Linked DNA regions of Rattus norvegicus. Each later gene encodes a partner of the first gene's protein in a complex. Links are inferred from orthologs where the notes say so. Each region holds a gene or a part of one and is shown on either strand. Other genes may lie near its edges.

The links.
Region 2: Cinp (region 1) and Afg2b share a complex: the UniProt entries of both Homo sapiens proteins name them as parts of the 55LCC heterohexameric ATPase complex. The link is inferred for Rattus norvegicus from reciprocal best matches to the Homo sapiens genes CINP and AFG2B.

The regions. Positions count from the first base shown.
Region 1 is NC_086024.1:135,710,377-135,714,194, reverse strand, and holds part of Cinp (cyclin-dependent kinase 2-interacting protein), read left to right. Parts: intron 1-864; coding exon 865-994; intron 995-2,338; exon of another isoform or gene 2,339-3,572; coding exon 3,573-3,702; exon of another isoform or gene 3,703-3,818. UniProt on the Homo sapiens protein: Component of the DNA replication complex, which interacts with two kinases, CDK2 and CDC7, thereby providing a functional and physical link between CDK2 and CDC7 during firing of the origins of replication.
Region 2 is NC_086021.1:130,158,033-130,161,850, forward strand, and holds the end of Afg2b (ATPase family gene 2 protein homolog B), read left to right. Parts: intron 1-1,069; coding exon 1,070-1,200; intron 1,201-2,156; coding exon 2,157-2,282; coding exon of another isoform or gene 2,283-2,286; intron 2,287-2,945; coding exon 2,946-3,110; 3' UTR 3,111-3,309; downstream 3,310-3,818. UniProt on the Homo sapiens protein: ATP-dependent chaperone part of the 55LCC heterohexameric ATPase complex which is chromatin-associated and promotes replisome proteostasis to maintain replication fork progression and genome stability.

The DNA.
Region 1 (3,818 bases):
ACTTGTGGCACACATCATAGAGGATGCTCATACTCTGTTTGCCTCATGGTCCAGACCAGAAAGAAGATACTGGGATCCCAAAGTCCTTTGAAGGGAATCCTTTCCCTACGTGGACAGAAGCCTTTCCACTAGGCTCACCTTAATAGTTGCACTTTCTTCTAACAGCACCATAGACTCCAGTTTTAAAACTACTCTTGACTCCTTTGGGAAATGACCCATGTCTTACGCGTTTCATAGAACCAGCACTAAGCCCTACACCAAGGATTCCACATGGCTACACTTCACTGCCCCTAATACAAATGAGTCCCGATGTATAGCTCAGCAGTGGAGCATTTGCAGCACACAGAGGAGGCCCTTGGCTCCATCCAAGCACAGTAAACTTGGGTAACTAGATGTGCTCACGGTGTAAATGTAATCCTTGTATAGGAGAGTCCTTAGGAAACCTGTTAGCTCTAGGGCTAGAAAGATGGCCAAAGTGTTAGGAGCTCTTGCTATTCTTTCAAAGAACTGGAATCTGGTTCTCAGCAGCTCCTAACTGTCTCTAACTCCAGCTCCAGGGACTCCAGGGACTCCAGTGCCCAGTTCTGGCCTCCACGTTATAAATGAGCATCTATTGCAGTGACGTTTGCAACATGTTGCAATATGTCTAACATGTATGCAATGTATCTAACATGCATGCAATATGTCTAACATGATTATATAAATGATGACTTCTGTAGGATCCATTACAACAAAATGAGGCTACTGTGTAGCCAGGTTGTGAACTCCTCCTCCTCAAGCACTGGGGTTAGAGATGTGCAGTCGCCTGGCATGAGATGAGTCTGAAGAGTGTAATTTGTACCCACTACCTTCTGCTTTGTCCAGGAGTAAAGAGAAGGTTGAATTAGAGAGCAGCAGTCCAACTTCCATCGAAGAGGAAGAGAAGACAAACCTGGACTATGATAAAGGACTTGAAGCATTGTGTGAGGAGCTACAGGCCATCTTGGACGGCTTGGTAAGACCTGAAGCTACTGGCCATCAACATCACTGTCTCTCAGCCCAGGGCAGCTGTTTGGGGTTTGCTTGACTGTGGGGGCATTCAGAAGAGTCGGAGATCTCTCCTCCCACCTACTTACAAACCCTGATGCTCTCAAGTCACGTCGGGTACATACTCCAGCAGTGTCAACTGCTTCAAGGGTCCAGAGTGAATATTCAGATTCTGTGGGCCAGACCATTTCTATCACACTGACTTCTTGGTGCTGCTGTGTAACACGAGAGCAGCCATGGTGTTGTCAGTGTGGGCCTAGCAGTTCCTACTTCAGGCTGTGGTCCGAATCAACTGCATTCCTTGTTCAGATTGTTTGCACTTAGGCATTGGGAGTTCTTGTCTGAAATACCGTCTTTCTAGTAAAGCTCCGTTTGGGGAAGTTTTTGACATTTCCTTATTGACTAGCACTGAAAGGTCCCAGGCTTACTTTGCATATTTCCTGCCTCCGCCTAAGAATCAGCATTTTCCCCCAAGGGGCCTAGATCTTTGATTAGGAGAGGCCTGATAAAATGTGGTTAGCTGGGCTGGAGGGATGGCTCAGAGGTTAAGAGCACTGACTGCTCTTTCCGAGGTCCTGAGTTCAATTCCCAGCAACCACATGGTGGCTCACAGCCATCTGTAATGGGATCCGATGCCCTCTCTGGTGTCTGAGGACAGCTACAGTGCACTCACAGACATAAAATCTTTTCTTTTAAGGAAGTGGTTACTGTGGGGCTAGGGAGATGGCTCGGTGTTAGGAGCACTTGCTTCTCTCTCAAAGGACTGGAGTTTGGTTCCCAGCACAACTCTCTCTAACTCCAGCTCCAGGGCCTCCAGTGCCAGTCCCGCCTCCACAGCCACCCACACATAAATGATAAAATAAACATCTTAGAGGAAGCAAGCTCTACATGCTAGCCATCATGTTAGAAGCTCTCTGCTCTGATGAACTTGAATCTGTCTGAAACTGGTTTGAACTCAGTGTTCAAACCCAAAAGTTGGTGTTGGAGGCTGTGAACCCTGTTTTTTTGTTTTGTTTTTTTTCTCTCCCCATCCATTAAAGTGGTTTGGGGTTAAGTATCTTGGTCATACCCTTTCCCCTAAGATGTACCCCATTTTCGTGGAACGTGTTATTGTGGGAGACACTACAGCTGCTCTGTGGTCCAGGCTGCTCTTTCATTGTTAGCTCAGCAAAGCACACACAGATAGGACTCTGTCCCTGTTGGTGGCTGAGCTACAGATCTGGGTCAGAGTCTCTAGATTTCCCTTCCCTCTGAATCCTTCCAAGCTTTTCTAGAATTAGGAGGTGTCCGGAAGCTGCTTTAGGGTGTAGACTTCTTTTTTTTTTTTTTTTTTTTTTTTTGGTTCTTTTTTTTCGGAGCTGGGGACCGAACCCAGGGCCTTGCGCTTCCTAGGTAAGCGCTCTACCACTGAGCTAAATCCCCAGCCCCCGGGTGTAGACTTCTTTACAGAGTTGGGTTCAAAAAGCACAGATCCAGCCCTGGCCCCGCCCGCCTCCTCACCTCAACCTTGAGCATCTTCCCAGCTGCGACTGGAAATGATGGAGCCTGTCTGGAGGTTAAGCGAAGGGAAATATCGAACCTAAGATGATTTGAGAAAGGAGAGGCTTTTAAAGATTAACATTTGCTAAATTTAGTGTGTGTCACTTTCGATAAAACCAGGGGATGGACGGCAGTTGGGAGGATCCAGTACAGGAGTTATGACTGATGCTATCCGTCTCTTTTATCCCTCAGACACATAACAGTTAACTACACTGAGGAGTTAGGAGATTTAGTTTTGTTTTTTGTTTTTGTTTTTGTTTTTTTTCCGGAGCTGGGGACCGAACCCAGGGCCTTGCGCTTGCTAGGCAAGCACTTTACCACTGAGCTAAACCCCCAACCCCGAGATTTAGTTTTAATAAACCTTTGCTACTTAAATCTAAAACCCTAGTTAGCTCTGTCTATTGTATTTAATGATCACTGTGTAGCCGGGTGTTTCATGACCCACGTCACTGCCCCTCCATCTGTCATACTTTGGTCACTGTGGAGAAGGTGCTGGTGTCTCCTGCTGGGAGCTGGCAGAGGACACAGTAGCAGGGGAAGGGAGGTCTTCAGAGACCCAGGTTTCAGGTTCTTACTGCCTTCTCCTGTGTGCATGAGGCTCCCTTTCACTCTCGATGCCATATGAGTAAGAAAAGAGAGGCTCACAGAGGCTTCATAGAGAGGCAGAAACGTGCATGCTGGGTGCCTTTCTGCCTGTGTCATTCTGTGATACCAGCCCACGGGGACTCCGCCAGACCTTTGGAACTAAACTGCTACTGCTGCTTAGAAACCTTACTGAGGTGGGACTCCGCAAGCTCTGCTTTCTCTAAGGCTGTGAAAACCACAACTCCCACCTGTCTCCATTCCTCTGGAAATCTGCTGTCTTCTGTGGAGTTAATGGGGTGAATGACTGGAATTTCAGCCCCACCAGGACTATACATCGTAGCCTTCAAGTCTTTTATAGTTACTAAGTCTGAGATTAGAAATTCTAAGCAGTATTCTCATATTCCAAATTAATATCTTTTCAGACTAAAATACAAATGAAAATGGAAAAGCTGTCTTCAACCACCAAGGGAATTTGTGAACTAGAAAATTACCACTACAGGGAAGAGAGCAGCCGGCCCCCTCTGTTTCACACATGGCCCACGGCCTTCTTCTGTAAGTAGTTCTTCTGGAGGCCATTCTAAGAAGGGCATCAGCATTGCTTAAATCCAGTCCTTAGGAAAGGACACAGGGCCTCTGCCTTTTAAAAGGCAGACAGACGGACGGACAGA
Region 2 (3,818 bases), on another chromosome or scaffold:
ATGCTAGAGTACGTGCTTTGAGAGTAAACACTGGAGAACTGCTCGGAGTATTCAACTTATGAATGGCTTTGATTTTAGGCCTCACCTTGTCAAGCTTTTAAATGTCCCTTTGGGGCTGGGGAGCGTGTGTAACTCAGTGGCCGAGAGACTGCCTGTCAGACCCAAACCTTAGGTTCTATCATAGCACCACGTAAGTGAGGTGTGCTAGTGTGCACTGGTAACCACGTAAGTGAGGTGTGCTAGGGGCTGGAGAGATGGCTCAGCGTTAAGAGCACTGACTGCTCTTCCAGAGGTCCTGAGTTCAAATCCCAGCAACCACATGGTGGCTCACAACCAACTGTAATGAGATCTGATGCCCTCTTCTGGTGTGTCTGAAGACAGCTGCAGTGTACTTATAATAAATAAATCTTAAAAAAAAAAAAAAGAATTAAAAAAAAAAAAGTGAGGTGTGCTAGTGTGCACTGATACACCCAGTACTCGGGAAGTGCAGACACAGCTCGTAAGGTCAGTTTTGTTGGGTAAGGAGTTTTGGGACAGCCTGGGGTACATGAGACCTTACCTCAAATAGAAACAAATTTGCTGCTTGTCATCCAGGGTTTGCATAACTGCAGTTCAGTTTGATTGTCATCATTTCTGCCTCTGGAAAGAAGAATAAAAAGTGACTTTCCACCTTTGGGAAAGCTAGACTTTCCAGAACTGTACCTGTCCCCCGTGGTCACACACGCTGCCCTCGAGCAGCTTCTTTGTAGTTGCTGCTCACTGAGTGCTTGGGTGGATCTGGGCGCTGGCCAGGTGTTCTTCCCTGTGGCCTCTCCCCAGTTCTCACACAGAGAAACGCCTGTCAGGACTAGCCATTCCTTCAGACACACAAGGTAGCTTTGATTAGTGAGTTGTCATGGGGTGGCTTTATACCAAGAAGGTGGCTGGGACTGGGGAAGCATCCTGGTTCCAAAAGAAGGCCGTCCCTTTCAAACATTACCTTCTCACATGGGATTATTCACTAGGATCATCTAGGATTTCACTAAGTCACAGTTTGCGATGTTACTCTGTGTTATATGCTTTCCCTCAGAGTGTCAAGAAATTCTTAGTCGGAGTGTCATGATTGTTGTGGCGACAAACAGGCCTGATGTGTTAGACGATGCCTTGTTACGACCTGGCAGATTAGATAAGATGGTCTATGTCCCCCCTCCTGATCGAGAGGTAAGCAGTGCGTCACATCTGCCTAGTAGCATGTCCGGATAAGCTCCAGACTGGGTAGTGGTGGGCGGAGTGTCCTGCTCTCACTGTGCAGTGCTGGTATCCAGTTCTTTGCTTGGTGGCTCTTCATAAAGTCACGTATTTGTCCGTTCTGGTTCCCTGGCCCTGCCTGGAACATGCCTGGAAGTGACTCTAGTGCTCCCAGCAGTACTGAGGGCACTGGGTGTCATTGTATCTGGCATGGAAAAATCCTTAGGCATTTGAGTCCCTGAAAGGGCATTAGTGGACTGGGTCTGTGGGGACTGCAGCATGTCCAGTCAGGAAATGCTTTGCTCTTAAACACCCAGAATGACTGTCAGATGGTGAAGGGCTCCGGGAATTAATTTTTCCTTCCTTGGGCTTTTATCAACTTTTAAAGAGATCTCTTTTTTATGTAAATGTCTGATGCTTCTAAATGTGTCTCATAAATCGTGTGTTTGTCTCTAAACCTATTCTGATAGCACTCTGGTTCCCAAAAGAGAGTCATCTTGTCCTATAAGGAGAAATGCTTATGACTGGCAAGTTCAGAAGTTAATTAACAATATTTGTTTTCCATGATACTGTTTCTACCTTTGCTGTGTAGACCATTGATGACTCCTCTCTCTTTCAGGAGCAAGACTGATTTTAATTGTTTGAATAGAACACACACCACACACACACATTGTACACACAAATATACACCCCCCCACACCACACACACACACAAATGCACACACCATACATACATCACACATAGTCATCACACACACACACCATACACACATATACTGCACCCCTCCACATACCCACACAACACAAACATATACATACATTCTTTGTAATGTAATAGAAAATTTGAACTTAAAATGCTTACTGTATCAGTGCTGAACATAAGTGTGATAACATTGTAAATATTTGTTTGTTTGTTTATTTTCTTCCAGGGCAGGCTTTCTATTTTAAAAGTCTGTACAAACAACATGCCAATAGGGCTCAATGTTTCTCTAGAGAACCTGGCAGCAGAAACCTGTTATTTCTCTGGAGCTGATCTGAGAAACCTCTGCAAAGAAGTGAGTATGTACTGTTTTATTCGAGGCCAGAGCCTTTGAATGGTTTCCCTTTCCGTAAGCTTTACCAAATATAAAATCGAGAGGAATGCACAGAGCTGAAGGAAATGGTACTGAATGACTGTCAAGTGACCACACTTTTATAGCCAGCACATGTGTCAGGAAGGGATTGTTGGTATTCTAGAATCTTCCTCTGACCCTTCCTACCCACTGCCCCTGCTGCCCACCAAAGGTGGCCACTTGCTCACTCCTACACTGGAGACGAGCTTTGCGGCCTTTGAGCTCTGAGTTTCTACATTCTGCCATAAACAGTTTGTCTGTGCTGGGAGTGTGGAGTGGATCTTCCATACACATACATGGCTGGAAGAATTGCCAAGTCATAAATGTGCCCTCTTTTCTTTTATGAGCAGTGCTGCAGGGCTCCTCTCATCTTAGACTGTGTGTGCATTCAGGGCGTGTATGTTATTCTACAGTCTGCCTTTTTAAGGCTGGATTTTTAGTGTACAGGAAGCTGTGGTCTATGGTGGATTTGTAGTCAGCTTAACCTTTAGTGTTTTTGGGTGGCTTTGAACTCCTTTGATGTGACACTGGATTGCAGTGCTGACAGTTACTGTTCACTGTTAATGTGAAGCAGATTGACTGTTGCCCACTGCTTGTGTCCTTCAGGCTGCTCTGTTTGCTCTGCAAGAAAATGGACTGGAAGCGACCACAGTGGAACAGGAGCACTTCACAGAAGCACTCAAGACTGTGAAGCCGTCCTTAACTCTGAAAGACCTGACTTTCTACGAAAACTTATTTAAAAAAGAACTTTCCAACTTGGAAGATCATTAAATTTTTATTTTATTCAGTTTTTTATATAAAGTGGTTTGCAACTTCACGCTTTCATGAGAGGGGGAAGGGAGAGGTAGGGGACTGGAGAGAGAGAGAGAGAGAGAGAGAGAGAGAGAGAGAGAGAGAGAGAGACTGAGACACTAAGAACTTGCCTGATAAGGACCATTTCACTTCTGAAAGATATATTAAACACTATAGTAAAAAGCATGTGTGTGATTTTGTTAGGATAATTGTTTTTGGTGATCGTCTTATGACTTTGAACTGTATTATCCTTTGGGAAAGCTGCTGGCATAGAGCAGTGGACTTCAGCATGCTCTAGCCAAGATTCACCACACTGGCATTTTGTCACATTTGTCTTTGCTTCTTCCTCTGCACCCACACCATTTTCTTAACAGCCTCGGGCTACAACAGAGCCTTAAGTCAGTCTTGGGACAACACTGAGAAGTGTGCCATTAGGCAATTTTGTTGTGAATGTCATAGAGTAGTATGGTTATTCCAGCTAGATAGTGACACCACCAGGTAAGATTTTGGGAGTTCCCGCTCGTACACGTCTGTCACTCAAGCATACTGTTCATGGCTGTGCATGTGCAAAGCTCCATTATGGCTGGTGTCGAGTATGTGTGCCTCACAAAGTTGCCTTACGTTACAGTTAACTCACAAATTCTAGGAATTTTAGCATCAACGTTTGTGTTTTAATGTATTCCATAT